3 linked regions of the Arabidopsis thaliana genome follow. The protein of the gene in region 1 interacts with the protein of each later gene in a pairwise test. Each region holds a gene or a part of one and is shown in the gene's direction. Other genes may lie near its edges.

What was found.
Region 2: the proteins of WOL (region 1) and AT3G11070 interact in a two-hybrid assay, tested with the Arabidopsis thaliana proteins (one large-scale study listed by BioGRID).
Region 3: the proteins of WOL (region 1) and AT5G59613 interact in a two-hybrid assay, tested with the Arabidopsis thaliana proteins (one large-scale study listed by BioGRID).

Annotation. Positions count from the first base shown.
Region 1 is NC_003071.7:362,482-370,361, reverse strand, and holds WOL (CHASE domain containing histidine kinase protein), read left to right. Parts: upstream 1-2,004; 5' UTR 2,005-2,345; coding exon 2,346-2,407; exon of another isoform or gene 2,408-2,925; coding exon 2,926-3,475; intron 3,476-3,655; coding exon 3,656-3,892; intron 3,893-3,985; coding exon 3,986-4,155; intron 4,156-4,330; coding exon 4,331-4,549; intron 4,550-4,630; coding exon 4,631-4,869; intron 4,870-4,962; coding exon 4,963-5,192; intron 5,193-5,270; coding exon 5,271-5,369; intron 5,370-5,452; coding exon 5,453-6,657; intron 6,658-6,798; coding exon 6,799-7,030; 3' UTR 7,031-7,379; downstream 7,380-7,880. UniProt on the Arabidopsis thaliana protein: Cytokinins (CK) receptor related to bacterial two-component regulators. Also binds the synthetic urea-type cytokinin thidiazuron, a potent defoliant and herbicide. Functions as a histidine kinase and transmits the stress signal to a downstream MAPK cascade.
Region 2 is NC_003074.8:3,465,970-3,470,779, forward strand, and holds AT3G11070 (Outer membrane OMP85 family protein), read left to right. Parts: upstream 1-1,734; 5' UTR 1,735-1,831; coding exon 1,832-2,341; intron 2,342-2,474; coding exon 2,475-2,960; intron 2,961-3,178; coding exon 3,179-3,661; intron 3,662-3,762; coding exon 3,763-3,846; 3' UTR 3,847-4,264; downstream 4,265-4,810. Other genes in the region: AT3G11060 (uncharacterized protein), read right to left, coding at 334-975; RLP35 (receptor like protein 35), read left to right, coding at 4,512-4,810.
Region 3 is NC_003076.8:24,014,848-24,018,470, reverse strand, and holds AT5G59613 (ATP synthase), read left to right. Parts: upstream 1-1,860; 5' UTR 1,861-1,970; coding exon 1,971-2,091; intron 2,092-2,262; coding exon 2,263-2,305; coding exon of another isoform or gene 2,306-2,309; exon of another isoform or gene 2,310-2,741; coding exon 2,742-2,745; 3' UTR 2,746-3,077; downstream 3,078-3,623. Other genes in the region: AT5G59616 (Interleukin-1 receptor-associated kinase 4 protein), read right to left, coding at 394-542, 648-960; AT5G59610 (Chaperone DnaJ-domain superfamily protein), read right to left, coding at 3,517-3,623. UniProt on the Arabidopsis thaliana protein: Mitochondrial membrane ATP synthase (F(1)F(0) ATP synthase or Complex V) produces ATP from ADP in the presence of a proton gradient across the membrane which is generated by electron transport complexes of the respiratory chain.

The DNA of each region.
Region 1 (7,880 bases):
ATGTTTCTCTAAGGTCTAACCCAAACCCATTTGAGTTAAATTTTAATATATATATATATTAAAAAATAAAATAAAAGAACAAAAAAGAAAATAAAATAAATTCTTTTTCCTTTATAATATAAAGTACAAGTCCCTTGCCCAATAAAATTATGCCACATAAGATTTGTTTATAATTTAAAGAATTATTTAAAATTTTTTAAAAAAAAAACGCTCATTTTTTTTTTCTACATATTTAAAAACAAAAAAATATTCCTAGATTTTCTCACACACCACACCATCATTATCTTTGGAAATTTGTAACCAACTCAAGATTTTCCAAACCGTTTTATCTTCCTCTACAAAAATCCAATTCACGTTAAATCTATCTCTTGCTCTTGCTTCCTCCAAAAAAAAAAAAAAATCATTCCCAGATCCATCGATATGAAATTGTATAGAAAAAATGGTATTCGATCCAAGTTTATTGTCTTCTATTTTTCTTAGGTTAATTTCACTTTATTCCAGATTCATTGTTTGTTTTTTCTTTCTCGGAAGAGCACAATGTGAGTTTCACTGGCCTCTGTTATAAACATATATAGAAATCTGTAACAAAAATCATTACTAAAATTCTGTGACATGTGCAGCGATCAAAGAATCAATAGCGGAAAAAGAAACTACACTGCATTCATCTATGACTGAAAGCTTCTGATCAAGCCATGAAATTAAGGTATCCCAAACACGTATCTTCTCTATGTTTATCAATCTTGCTTTAAGTTCTAATTCTGCATATTTCAAAGGAACCATACAAGTGTTCCTAAAATCCATTTGAATATTCAAAAACTTCTCTCAAATATCATGTAGTTATAGAAGCTACTGTCTCTAAGCGCACGAGAGAAAGCTACACAACCCACGTCAGTTTCCATCTACACATATAAGGTAATAATAATATTTTCATGTATCTTTAATAATAGCTCTATGTTTTTTTCTGTATTTTTCATTATAAAACTCATAACTATGTTATCATTTAATATGGTACTAATTTAATGGGATTGATTTACTATTGCCTCAAACATGTAATAATTTAATGATTTTTTGTTTTTAACGTTTTTAGAAATTCATGAGCATTTTAAATTTGTGGTTAGGTCATAACAATTTGCTATTACAAAAAAAAGAAACACTCTAAATAATATAAAAAATAGTTTACCGTATAATACTAGTAGTAAATAAATAATTTGATTGTTATTCATAAATTTTGAATTCTAAAATCTCCTGAATCAACTCATGCAATTGTCTTAAGAATTACACGTGGATAAATCATGGGCTTATGAGTCAGGCCCATTTAACCGGGGTATTTTCGTAGTTAAGAGACTAGAATGGTGGGTATTTCAGGTAAAAGGTCTATGGGGCCAGATCTGCGCTTTGTCGCGATGTCATTATCGCCAAAGATATGCGATAGCGACTCTCGTACAAAGTCTCTCACTCACCTATATTTTTTGTTTTCTTATATTTCAACAAAAAAACGTTTTATTTTCCTTTTGGTGTAAGTAAAAAAACAAAACAAAACGTTTTATTTCTAAAGTTCAGAAAACTTATTTATACCAAGGAAAAAATAGATAATAAATTTTGAGAAGTTGGTGACTATATATTACTTCACTTATTCAAGAAATTTAAACATGGTAAATGTTACTTTAAATGTTAAATGATGTATAAGAAATGTAATGAAATTGAATAAATGTAGTTTTAAAGATGTTTTAATTAGTAAGACAAACCTAGTTAGTGTCACAATAATTATATTTTTTTTTTTGTCATCCAAAATTATTAAAGCTCAAGTAAACCAATCCTGAGGGATATTATTTACAAATGTGATATGATGCGGTTCGGTGCGGATCTTCCGCGCCAAATTATACGCTTTTATATTAGCATTATAAAAAATTATAGATAAAGAGAAGTTTGTGAATTCTTCATTGTCGCTTTGCAATTTCTCTAAATACACAGTAAATACCGACAATTCGGTTAGAGAAAATATATCTATTTCGTATAATAATGTTAACTTTGAGGAGATTTTGGGTAAAATAATAACTTTTGTTGGATGGATCATATCATGAGCCATTAAGAAAAAGTCCAAAACTTTTCTTCTTCAAAGTTGGACTCAAGTTAGAAAAAGAAAAAAGAGCTAGAGAGATATAAAAATGAAAAGAAAGTTCATGGCAAAAAACTGATATAGACAGAGACACAGAGAGAGAGAAACGTATCTGAAGAAAATCTAAAAAATTCGATTCAATTTTTTTCTTACTTTTAAAAGCAAAAAATCTCACTAAAACAAAAGAAGAAGAAAGAAGAAAGAAAATGGAATACCTACATTTGAAGTGATGAGAAGAGATTTTGTGTATAATAATAATGCAATGTTCAATCCTCTCACAACTCATTACAGGTAACTAAAATAATTTCTCCATGTGCTTGCTTATTAGTCGTTCTTCCTAATGTTATGTTTCTCTCTGTGTTCTTTCTTTCTTTGGTCAAAGCTTTAATTTTTTTTCTATTGTTGGATTTGAGACAGTGAACATAGCTATGTTCTTGTTCCAATAATAAACAATCACGCCTGTAAAGAGCTTATGATTGATTAGTGTGTTTTTTAGTATTAATTAATTTCTCTGACAATAATTACTTAGTTTTTAATTCTTCTCTGTAAGAAACCTTTGGAAACTGAGCAAAGTTGCTTCTTTTGAGAACCATGCGTTTCTTTCTCTCTTTTGTTCTTGAATTCGCAAAAACATGTCCTTTTTCGTCTACAGGTTTCTAGGGTTTGTTTCTGTACTATAAACTATGTTTATGGTAACATTCTTAATCATAACTACACTACCAATGCTTTTATGTTATATGTATGCAAAAAAGGCTCTAACTTTTGTTTTCTTTCACTATTGTTTCTTCTTTTGTTCTCTATTGTTGTAGCTCAGATATGAACTGGGCACTCAACAATCATCAAGAAGAAGAAGAAGAGCCACGAAGAATTGAAATTTCTGATTCCGAGTCACTAGAAAACTTGAAAAGCAGCGATTTTTATCAACTGGGTGGTGGTGGTGCTCTGAATTCGTCAGAAAAGCCGAGAAAGATCGATTTTTGGCGTTCGGGGTTGATGGGTTTTGCGAAGATGCAGCAGCAGCAACAGCTTCAGCATTCAGTGGCGGTGAAGATGAACAATAATAATAATAACGATCTAATGGGTAATAAAAAAGGGTCAACTTTCATACAAGAACATCGAGCATTGTTACCAAAAGCTTTGATTCTGTGGATCATCATTGTTGGGTTTATAAGCAGTGGGATTTATCAGTGGATGGATGATGCTAATAAGATTAGAAGGGAAGAGGTTTTGGTCAGCATGTGTGATCAAAGAGCTAGAATGTTGCAGGATCAATTTAGTGTTAGTGTTAATCATGTTCATGCTTTGGCTATTCTCGTCTCCACTTTTCATTACCACAAGAACCCTTCTGCAATTGATCAGGTCAGTGTGTGCTTTATTAAAAGCTCAAAGCTTTGGTGAAATTTTTGATTCATAAATGCAAAGTTGACTTTTTTTGGAACCAGAAGTTTTTGAAATTTACTCTTTTATGTTTGGTTATTGAGTAAATGAAGGGAAATTTAGGCCTTTGCTTTACTCATTGGTTTGTGGCTAATTTTGCAGGAGACATTTGCGGAGTACACGGCAAGAACAGCATTTGAGAGACCGTTGCTAAGTGGAGTGGCTTATGCTGAAAAAGTTGTGAATTTTGAGAGGGAGATGTTTGAGCGGCAGCACAATTGGGTTATAAAGACAATGGATAGAGGAGAGCCTTCACCGGTTAGGGATGAGTATGCTCCTGTTATATTCTCTCAAGATAGTGTCTCTTACCTTGAGTCACTCGATATGATGTCAGGCGAGGTAATATAAACATTATCAGACACTTATGGTTTTGTTTTTTCGGTTAAGTATCCGACCTGCACCTCTTCTGAATTTTGGCTATCTTTTCTGCAGGAGGATCGTGAGAATATTTTGCGAGCTAGAGAAACCGGAAAAGCTGTCTTGACTAGCCCTTTTAGGTTGTTGGAAACTCACCATCTCGGAGTTGTGTTGACATTCCCTGTCTACAAGTCTTCTCTTCCTGAAAATCCGACTGTCGAAGAGCGTATTGCAGCCACTGCAGGGTAAAGTTCCCATCTGATTACTGGAGCAAACTTTTGCTTGTGATCATGTAAAAAGAGATTTTCGAGATTTCATGATTGGTTTATGTGTGTGATCATGTAAAGGAAAGAGGTTTTTTGAGATTTCAAGATTGGTTTGTGTGTAAAGTAAAGATTGATGCTTGAATTTGAAATGCAGGTACCTTGGTGGTGCGTTTGATGTGGAGTCTCTAGTCGAGAATTTACTTGGTCAGCTTGCTGGTAACCAAGCAATAGTTGTGCATGTGTATGATATCACCAATGCATCAGATCCACTTGTCATGTATGGTAATCAAGATGAAGAAGCCGACAGATCTCTCTCTCATGAGAGCAAGCTCGATTTTGGAGACCCCTTCAGGAAACATAAGATGATATGCAGGTACCACACAGAAAATCTTAAAGCTAAAATACTCTCTGATATCTAAAAACTGATATCTTGTTTGAACAATTTCGAGTGCAGGTACCACCAAAAGGCACCAATACCGTTGAATGTGCTCACAACTGTGCCATTGTTCTTTGCGATTGGTTTCTTGGTGGGTTATATACTGTATGGTGCAGCTATGCACATAGTAAAAGTCGAAGATGATTTCCATGAAATGCAAGAGCTTAAAGTTCGAGCAGAAGCTGCTGATGTCGCTAAATCGCAGTTTCTTGCTACCGTGTCTCACGAGATCAGGACACCAATGAATGGCATTCTCGGTACTACATCTTCAAACAAATTCCAGTACTGTTGCCTTTCATCTTTGGTTTCTCAAACTGCCTCAAAGATTCTGTTTTAAAAATTTTCTGCAGGAATGCTTGCTATGCTCCTAGATACAGAACTAAGCTCGACACAGAGAGATTACGCTCAAACCGCTCAAGTATGTGGTAAAGCTTTGATTGCATTGATAAATGAGGTTCTTGATCGCGCCAAGATTGAAGCTGGAAAGCTGGAGTTGGAATCAGTACCATTTGATATCCGTTCAATATTGGATGATGTCCTTTCTCTATTCTCTGAGGAGTCAAGGAACAAAAGCATTGAGGTAAGTTTTCAATCCAAGGAATAAAGATACATCTATTTGGAGTTGTGGCTGCTAATTTCTTGATTTCAAATTTGGCAGCTCGCGGTTTTCGTTTCAGACAAAGTACCAGAGATAGTCAAAGGAGATTCAGGGAGATTTAGACAGATAATCATAAACCTTGTTGGAAATTCGGTTAAAGTTAGTCCCTATTTCAATCTCTGCCTTTGTTGGCAGCTTGTGTATATGATTTTTGTTTGATCAAGATGTTGTCTTTTTGACAGTTCACAGAGAAAGGACATATCTTTGTTAAAGTCCATCTTGCGGAACAATCAAAAGATGAATCTGAACCGAAAAATGCATTGAATGGTGGAGTGTCTGAAGAAATGATCGTTGTTTCCAAACAGTCAAGTTACAACACATTGAGCGGTTACGAAGCTGCTGATGGTCGGAATAGCTGGGATTCATTCAAGCATTTGGTCTCTGAGGAGCAGTCATTATCGGAGTTTGATATTTCTAGCAATGTTAGGCTTATGGTTTCAATCGAAGACACGGGTATTGGAATCCCTTTAGTTGCGCAAGGCCGTGTGTTTATGCCGTTTATGCAAGCAGATAGCTCGACTTCAAGAAACTATGGAGGTACTGGTATTGGTTTGAGTATAAGCAAGTGTCTTGTTGAACTTATGCGTGGTCAGATAAATTTCATAAGCCGGCCTCATATTGGAAGCACGTTCTGGTTCACGGCTGTTTTAGAGAAATGCGATAAATGCAGTGCGATTAACCATATGAAGAAACCTAATGTGGAACACTTGCCTTCTACTTTTAAAGGAATGAAAGCTATAGTTGTTGATGCTAAGCCTGTTAGAGCTGCTGTGACTAGATACCATATGAAAAGACTCGGAATCAATGTTGATGTCGTGACAAGTCTCAAAACCGCTGTTGTTGCAGCTGCTGCGTTTGAAAGAAACGGTTCTCCTCTCCCAACAAAACCGCAACTTGATATGATCTTAGTAGAGAAAGATTCATGGATTTCAACTGAAGATAATGACTCAGAGATTCGTTTATTGAATTCAAGAACCAACGGAAACGTTCATCACAAGTCTCCGAAACTAGCTCTATTCGCAACAAACATCACAAATTCGGAGTTCGACAGAGCTAAATCCGCAGGATTTGCAGATACGGTAATAATGAAACCGTTAAGAGCAAGCATGATTGGGGCGTGTCTGCAACAAGTTCTCGAGCTGAGAAAAACAAGACAACAACATCCAGAAGGATCATCACCCGCAACTCTCAAGAGCTTGCTTACAGGGAAGAAGATTCTTGTGGTTGATGATAATATAGTTAACAGGAGAGTAGCTGCAGGAGCTCTCAAGAAATTTGGAGCAGAAGTGGTTTGTGCAGAGAGTGGTCAAGTTGCTTTGGGTTTGCTTCAGATTCCACACACTTTCGATGCTTGCTTCATGGATATTCAAATGCCACAGATGGACGGGTAACTAAATCACAACTAATACTATTTTTGGATTATTCGGTTTTTGAATTGTTCGGTATGAAAAATTTCCCGCCAAATTATAACTGACTTGGTTTGGTTCGGATTCGGTTAAAATCTTTTATAAACTTCATTGATTCTCAGATTTGAAGCAACTCGTCAGATAAGAATGATGGAGAAGGAAACTAAAGAGAAGACAAATCTCGAATGGCATTTACCGATTCTAGCGATGACTGCGGATGTGATACACGCGACCTACGAGGAATGTCTGAAAAGTGGGATGGATGGTTACGTCTCCAAACCTTTTGAAGAAGAGAATCTCTATAAATCCGTTGCCAAATCATTCAAACCTAATCCTATCTCACCTTCGTCGTAATCCAATCTTCCGGCGAGTTTTTTTTCTCTCTCCGCAGCCGGAAGAGTGGACCGATTCTGCTGATTGATATGCATTTTGGTTTCTGTACATACAGTAGGTTCACAATCTAGAGATTTTGAAGGTTTTTTTTTCTTTCACCGAAGTAATGTAGCTTGCCATGACTAGTGTATGTTGTTAAACGACAACGTCTAAGACGACGGTTCAGTGTTGATCTTAGCGTAAGTATTAATCCCACGGGATCGTTTGTACTGTATCAGATTTGGTTAGTCGTTTAAACATTGTAATGTTCTAATAATAACTTTTCCATATATAACATCTTCTTATAACTTGAGACGAGACCATTTTGATTCATCTTTTGAGCTTGTTTAGCAACCAAATCGGTTAGCTAGTTGAACGAAGATCAGAGAAAGAGCTCAAACAACTCTTCATTAGCTATAGCTCAGTCGACGACTTGAGCTTTCAAACAACAGAAACAGAGCAAAGCTTAAAAACGACTGCGTTTTACTATTGGTTCGTCGATCTCACTAAACCGAGTGAGATAACCAAAGCCAATCAACAACCCTTTAATCGGATCTCTCGATGTAATCTATAAAGGATGAGAAGAATTAGGAACTTGTCCAAGAAGAGTATATAGAAAATATCTGACTTTTTGTTTGTTTTTTATATACTCTATCGACTTATTTTATCAGTTTCAGTAGGAACGCAACGAAATACTACAGAATGAATTTCTCCCGATTTAGGTAGAATTGGATCACCACACTGTTAGGTTCTAATTTGAAATGCCTTCCGACTAATACCAAGGATAATCATACCGTCTGCATTTCTAACTACCAAATAAATTAATTGGACC
Region 2 (4,810 bases), on another chromosome or scaffold:
CTTTAATGATTTATAACCCTACGTGGAGTCGAAACTAGAGTCCATGATTATGGGCTAAGGAAGGGTTCAATGTTGATTCTGTCTCTTAAAGATGAGGAGTTGTTATCGACAAGCTGCAAAGGGTACATATTCAAACTCTCACATTTTTTATAGCTCACGTAATCTCAAGTTCTCAACTAAATGGCAAAAAAAAAATAAAAGAGAAGAGAAGTTAACAAAAACTGATTCTTCGAATATCGATGGACTAACAATACCATTAGTACGTACTTAATTATGTAAGCAATTTGACAGGAAAAAAATTGCTCAAATTAATAAGAAAGAATGTATGTGTAATCAGACAAGCGTTTCGGGAGATGCAGTCAAAGTATGCAAGTCCTTCTCCTTCTCCGAGGGGAAATTATACGCAAAGAGCCCAAAGGAAACCAATACATAAAGACTGGTAACGAACAATGCCACTCCGTTATAGTCCTTAGAGTATAAAGCTTCAAAGATGCCAAAAAGACCAAACAACCAACCGAAGAAAAGCGTGATCAAAGCATGTCTCGTCTCCATCCTACACTTTTCCGTTAGCTGAATAAGCCCTATCCCTCCGGTGAACAACGATATGGTGAATAACGATATGTATAACAAAGACAACACGTTCTCCGTAAACACGAGTGAACAAGCTAGCGGCGTTATGAACACTAGGTACAAGGCAAGCTCCGAGAACACAACCTGAGGAATCCTCTTTTTAGGTGTAGTAAACTCCGTGTAGCAAGTGGAGGGAGGATCGGTGAAGAAAAGATATCTGAGTATCGTCACTGCGTAGAATGTTGTGGCACTGACCGCACCGTCTCTTAGGAACCGAGACGAGGAGTCACCAGATGGCAAGAGAAGGTTGAGGGATATGGAGAGGCCAAAGATGGAGAGTAGAGTCATTGCATACCATAATCCTCTGCATACAATCACATCTCTTTTACTCTTCATCTTCTCCATTAAGTATCTCATCTCTCTCTCTCTCTTTTTTAAAAGGCTTTATCTCTCCTCGTGTGATGGGTTTCAGAGACTTAATATAGGGATGGTGAAATAGGTGTAGAACTAGGTATTGAACTGACTAATCTTTATTGATTCACAAAACATGTGTATTTATACAAGAGTCATTGTATGTGATAAGCTCAAACTCCTAAACTATAGGAACTAAAACATATCAAAAGAATATACGACATGTCCCAATAATAGGGTTTTCGACTTCTTGTCTTTGAAGGCTTTTTAGATTTATTATACACATGCTAAAAAGATCTTCACCTCACAACGAAACTTACTAACAAAAATAAAAATATAAATATAAAATAATATTAAGAAACTTCTAGCAAGATGTGGCGTTGTCTCTGATTCTGACTTCTAGCAATATTAAGAAACTAACAAGATCTACAGGCTCACCAAAACATGTTGTTTTATGTCTTCCATAGGTTCCTTTAAGTCCATCTACTCAAAACAAATCCAACACTGCTTTAGCAAAATAGTTTGCACAGACAATGTGACTACTCCATCCAATGTCAATTAACAAAACCACTTAAATCCAACTCATATCTCTTTTGATTACCTAATAGAAATATGTGCGTAGCTCATGTTTTGCTCTTTTGCATGATGTCCCTTTTAGTAATTGCAATATGGCATAGTCAATGAAATTGCTAAAACGACATCGTTCAAGAAGCAAAAGAGCTCATAAACACCCTCTACACTATCTAGAAGGTTACATAGACGCCTGTGGACTTATAGTCGTCAAATTGATTCCTGGATTCGCCGAAAACTCGAAATCGTTGTACTCTCTCAGTTACTATCTCTCTGTCTCATGGCGAATCCGACGGAGAACCTCGACGCGAATCCACAAATCCGAGAACCAGAAGCTGAAGAAGAAGTTGAAGAACTGAACGGATACGAAGGTGACGATGGAGGAGAAGATGACGATGGAGAAGACGATGACACCGAGTCGAAATCTCAAACGCGCGAAAGCGGATCCAGTGTAGACAGAATCAAGGCGGAATCGCTATTCCGTCGGATGCGAGCTGCTCCTGTGCCGGTGCGTGTTCACGACGTGATTATCGGTGGAAACGAGAAGACTAAGGACCATATCATTGAAGCGGAAGTGGATGCTGTGAGAGAGGCGACCACGTTGCAAGAGCTTCTCGAAGCATCTAGGGTTGCCAATTCGAATCTCCGTGCGTTAGATATCTTTGATTCCGTCAACATTACGCTTGATTCTGGTCCTCCTGAGCTTCCTGGTACTACCAATGTGGTAATCGACGTCGTCGAGAGCAAAAGCCCTCTCACCGGCCAAATTGGTGCCTACACTAGAGCAGAGGTATTGCTTTAATAGTAACAATTCACTGCTATGTTTAAATTGTGTTGGTTTATTACGTATTGGTTTCTATAGAGTTGAATTTGTCATCTTCATGAAGCTGTTTTTGTTCTTCAATACTGTGATGCTCTTGTAGGCTAGATCATCAAGCGTTGAAGCATCTTTGAAGTATAAGAACATTTTTGGTTATGGAGATATTTGGGACGGGTCTATAGTTTATGGCTGTGACAACTCTGCTGAGGTTGGTTTGGGGATGTATTTGCCAAGGTTCAGAGGATTGTCTACTCCTTTTACTTCCCGTCTTTTCCTTTCGACTCAAGACTGGCTTAAGTTTTCATCGTATAAAGAACGATCCCTCGGTCTTTCTCTTGGTCTTTTCTCAAGCAAGTATCACGAGCTGATCTACACGATTGCGTGGCGTAATCTGATCGATCCATCACAAGCTGCTGCAGTATCAATAAGGAGACAACTGGGACACAGTCTGCTTTCTGCGTTGAAGTATACTTTTAGGTTTGATCAGAGAAACTCAAGCTTGAGGCCAACTAATGGATATGCTTTCATCTCTACATCTCAAATTGGTGGTCTTGCTCCTGATAGCCGAAGCTTACGCTTCCTGAAGCAGGTTGGTCTCCTCTTCTTTCTTGTTGCCAACATTTAGATGACCTTTATTTTAAGTTTGGAAGGTTGTAAGTTCTTACACAGCAAATTCTGTGGTTTCAGTCCCTTGTTTTCATACATATCTTCCCTAGTATGTCTGAAATTTATGCTCACTGTGAGAGGGAATAACAAGAATCTAAGACATCTGATAGTTTTAGCATCTATTTTCATTTGTTTGGTCAGGAAGTTGATCTTCGGTATGCTGTTCCGTTTGGATTTTACAATGCTGCTATAAATTTTGGTGTGTCTGGGGGTGTCTCCTTTCCGTGGGGAAGCGGATACCAGAACCGTCCTTCATCTATACCAGAGAGATTCTTCTTGGGTGGCAATTCATCGCCTGTGTGCTCCTTGAGTGGGCCATCTGCGCTGTGGGGATTCAAGACCAGAGGAGTTGGTCCCAGTGAGCCAAAGAGGAAAGGTGATAGTGAACGGGATTTTGTTGGAGGAGATGCGGCAGTGACTGCATTTGCGGATCTCTCATTTGATTTGCCAGTGAGATGGTTAAGAGAGAGAGGAATCCACGGTCATGTGTTTGCCTGTGCAGGGAATATGGCGAAGTTATCAGAGAATGAGTTTAGAAACTTCACTGCTCCAAAGTTCTTGGAGACATTCAGAACTTCAGTTGGTGCTGGAATCGTCTTACCAACAAGCCTATTCCGTATGGAGGTTTGGTTCTCATCACTACTCTCCCTTATGCATTTTTATCGAATGAAAGTGCAATGATTAACACCAAAATTATCCATCGTTTTTGTTTTGTTATGAGACAGCTTAACTACTGCCACATATTGAAGAAACAGGAACACGATCAAGCGAGATCAGGGGTTTTCTTGACATTCTCTGCTTCGTCCTGAGAAATTTTTGCTGAAGAATCAAGGTACTCCATATGATATGGCCTTTCATTATTTTCTTTTTCTTAAAGCCGTGTCCCAATGTCTGGTAGAATCTTTGATCTATTGTTGAATCGAGAAAACTTTACATAGAGAGTCGATTCTTTTTGTTATGTTTGCATGGATTTCTCATTTCTGGATCCACGAGGAATGATAATAAAGAGAAAAGAACCACCATTAATTGGTTGAATGATTGATGCATTGATGCGGATGAACCCTTGATTGGATAAATTTAAAACTGTGCTAAGAAAATTTACAGTTTACACTTGCCATCAAAACTTCCTCCTTTTTTGGTTTTACATTTATCCTTTATTCAAGGAACCAATAAGTAGATTACTCTTTATTTTCCATTCTTTTTCATGGATTTCTCAGTTTCTGGACAAGCAACCTTTTCAATTTCTGCACGTATATTTTATAGTACGACAAAAATGTGTGGAAATTGACTATTCAACTTGACTTAGTCTTTTATTCTTTGCGTTTAACAGAATTCCCTAGTATCTTAATATAAGTCTTCTATTATGTGAATTAAACAGATGGGTGCGAATTAAATTATTCTACCTACCATCGAAATCTCTATATTTTCTTTTTCATAATCGATATTCAAGAATGCTAATTAAGCATAGAGAAGGATGACAGGCTCTTGGAATCCAACGAGTATCATCATCCCTGTTACACTTTCCTTTCTCCTCTCATTCATTCACAATTTTGCGGACGTGGTTGCAGCTCCTACTAGGCACTTGTGTCTTCCCGAACAAAGGGATGCACTTCTCGAACTCAAGAACGAGTTTGAGATTGGGAAGCCTTCCTCTAATGATTATTGCTATCGCAATAATAGCCGTGTAAGCCCTCATCCGACGACAGAGTCATGGAGGAATAACAGCGACTGTTGTAATTGGGAGGGTATCACGTGTGATACCAAGTCCGGGGA
Region 3 (3,623 bases), on another chromosome or scaffold:
ACTAATTGTGACGGATTTGTGATTGTATTTTGGTCGTAAAATGTAACGGGCCAGTGACTTAAATATGGTAATAATCTGTGACAAGTATGTTACGATTTTATTGTCACTAGTTGTGGCATAGTTGTGACAGTATCGTTCGTCACGAATTGTATCCGTTTTTGCGACTATAATAACGTCGTCACAATCAGTGACAAATTGTTACTGTTGTTAATCGTCACATTCGTTTGTGACCTTTTTGAGACATACATAGATTTGTGACGATTTTATTGTGACATTTTAAAATTTGTTTCAGTTTCGACACAAAAAAATTATTGTGACCGAATATCTTTTTATTGTAACTATAATAATCGTATCAATATTCAGTTTTTATTGTAGTGGGGGTGATCTTATGACTTACAAAGAAGTGATTCTTGGTCGTGTAGACATATCAGTGTCACTGCAGTTTAATCCCTCCCACATAAACTGCCGAGGGACACATGGATCTCCTTGCCAGCTATTTCTACTAATTTCATAGGTGGTTTTGATGTTTTGGACAGCAACCACTGACATAACATGTTTTAGTTTATGATACTTGAGTTAACACAGAAATAATTTGACTACCTTTCTAAACATAAAACAATAGTATAGACCTTATATGCATAACATACCGTCGTTTTCATTTGTTTCGATCTGCGGAAACTGGATAACTGTGTAGACCTCAAAAGCGTTAAGCAAAGGTGGAAGAGTTGATCTGTTGGTTCTTCTCAGCTGAAAACTGCATTTTCCTCCTTCACAAGTACTTGGTGACTGGCTAAAGATAGTATAAATAGTGAATTTTGGAGGTATTAAAGGGTCGGCGATGACTTGTCTATTCCAAAACATGTTAAATTCCCTTGTATCGTTGGTCTGCAACTCTTGGATCTCAGCAAAATGTCCATACAAGTAATATTGGTTATTGACATTACTCGAACTCCATTCCATCGTCAATGGTGCAGTTGAATTAGTAGATATTGCAGCAGTTTTGAGTGCTTCTTTTGGTGGAAAATATTTGTTTGAATTGCTCACTTCCAGGGTGGTGGAAATGTGGGTCCATTCATTCCTTGAAAACGTAGTCCATACACGATCATAGACATCATTCCGGTACCTTGTGACACAAACAACAGCGCATGTATGAAATAAACATAAACGGACATGTAAGGCAAATAAAAGCTCTGGTTACATGAGAAGAGGTCTTTAGTGTGCAAATATAAAAATGGTATATGACTGAAACAAATGAGTAAATGTATTTTCTATCGAAAAACACAAGAAGACTAGGAAAATAATCTCCGGACATCACAATCAAGAACTTGAATAGCCTAACATTATCCTAAGAAACATATGTAAATTTCTTGGTCAGACGATATAGGCAACTTGGTTTTTGAAAGACCAGTTCAATTGATCTCAACTGTTATATAGTTTATCATTCTATAGCTAATACAATAAGAATGTTCATAGAGAGAGAGCAATACACACGGATTTGAATTTGTAGTGGTCTCTAACTTGAATTGGTCCATTTTTCCATGTTTTCTCTAATGAAACAAGCTTTGACAATTTCCTTTCACAATAATAGCTTCGAACCAAGAAATTATAGACAGATCAATCTTGAAGCTAATTCAAAGAGCAGCACCGTGGTAAAACGTACAAATAGAAGTGGATTAACATGAGAAAAAACAATTCCAGAGTGCTTGAAACGCAGTCGCGGGAAATTCGCGTTTTAAACGCAACGGTCATTAGTGGCCTTTTACAAATTAACTAGAAGACTTATTGGGCCTTTATTGAGTTTTGGATAGCCCATTAAATATCCAGAAAGAATTCGGATCCAGTAACTATTACCTATCCATCAGTGTTTTGTTGTCACTTTCATCTGTCTCTACGCGAAGCAGTCTCCGACTCATCCAGATACCAAAGTTTAGAGAGAAGACCAAAGAGAACAAAAAGAGAAAAAGAGAAAGATGAGGTTGTTCGATCCATGGCCAGTGTTCTTCAAGAGAGAATGGAAACGTTGTTGGCCGTTTCTCACCGGATTCGCCGTTACCGGCGTTCTCATCACCAAGCTCACCGCTGGACTCACTGGTAAGTCTCTTCAGATCTGACCAATCGTCATCGGAAATGAAAGAGCTAATCCTCAATTGATCCGTATTTGTGGAATCGGATCGGATATATTGATGTATTGTGTCTCAGTATTGATTGTTGGATCGCTGGTTGTGAAACCCTAATTAGTAAATGTATTGACTCATTTTGCAGAGGAAGACGCCAAGAACTCCAAGTTTGTCCAACAACACAGGCGGTAATGTCTTTCTCTTTCGATCATATCAATGTTAAATTTCGATTTGGAAGCTGAATTCAAATCTGTATGTGATTTCTCTGCATCTGTTAATTGAATCTTATTAAGTCACCTACTTCATTCAGATGGCTTAGAATTTTATTGTAATTCATGATTTTGATATCTGGTTTTCTCCAATAGCCTGTACAAAATCTCAATGTGTAATGTTTGATTTGTCTTGCATCTGTTTCTTGAGCCAGTTTGGTTCTGTATATATTTTGTAATGCTTGATGCATTGTGAGCCATACATGAGTTTCCAACATCATTCAGATTAACTAAGTGTGTTTGATCAGACTCTTGTAATAACAAGATTTGAATCCTTGATAGATTTAGGATTTCACAGGATTCCAACACACTTACCATTCTCTATGTTTGTTCATGTTCTGTTGTGAAATCTCAGGTGATCTACTGACGTGAGTTGTCGAAGCTGAGAAGCCGAAGCGTTCTTATGGAAACTACTGAGAGTGCTTCAGCTTTCAAACCTGTTCTAATAACATGAAAGAGAGGATTATAGACACTATCAATCTCTCGTTTCCTTTTCTCTGTGTTTTCACAACTCTTGAACAGTGCAAATTCTACTCTGTTTATCCAATTTTTTTCCTTTGCAATGAATTTCTTCTTCTCTTTTTGTTCCCCAATAAGAATATATGGTTAAGTATATAGCCTCCACTTGCTGATCAAACATCCATTGTTGGTTAAAATATGCAAAATTACTAAATATAAATCTTTGATGCAAAAAAAAATAGAATAACTATCAAGAAACTATTGTTTAAATATAATTTAAGTATGACACTCTTTAGCAAAATGAAAATAAGAAAACTTGAATATAATGTTCAGCAATAGCAGAGACGAAGTTGATTATATAATCCATCACCATTACTCATTAAAACATGCACAAGTAAAGGAACAAGCTTGAGTTTTTCTTTCTCTGAGATTTGAGTAAAAGAGTGTTGTTGACGGGAACTGTATTTATAGATACAGGGTTACAGTATGTCGGTTTTCCTATTCCTTAGGTAAACGTGAAAAGCTCTTATATCTAGAAATATATTGAATTTATCTATATAACTTAATTAACCATAATTGAGAATAAGATTAATTTCTCACCACATGTACAAAATAATTATTTCATGAGTATTAAACCAACTAAGAAAAACATTTTAATATAACTTATGGGATTATTGCAAGCCAAGATCTTTCTTCAATTGAGCAAGAGTTGCTTCGATCTCATCAATATTGTCTTCTATACTATTCTTTGTGCTACTATTATTCTTCCCGGAAGATT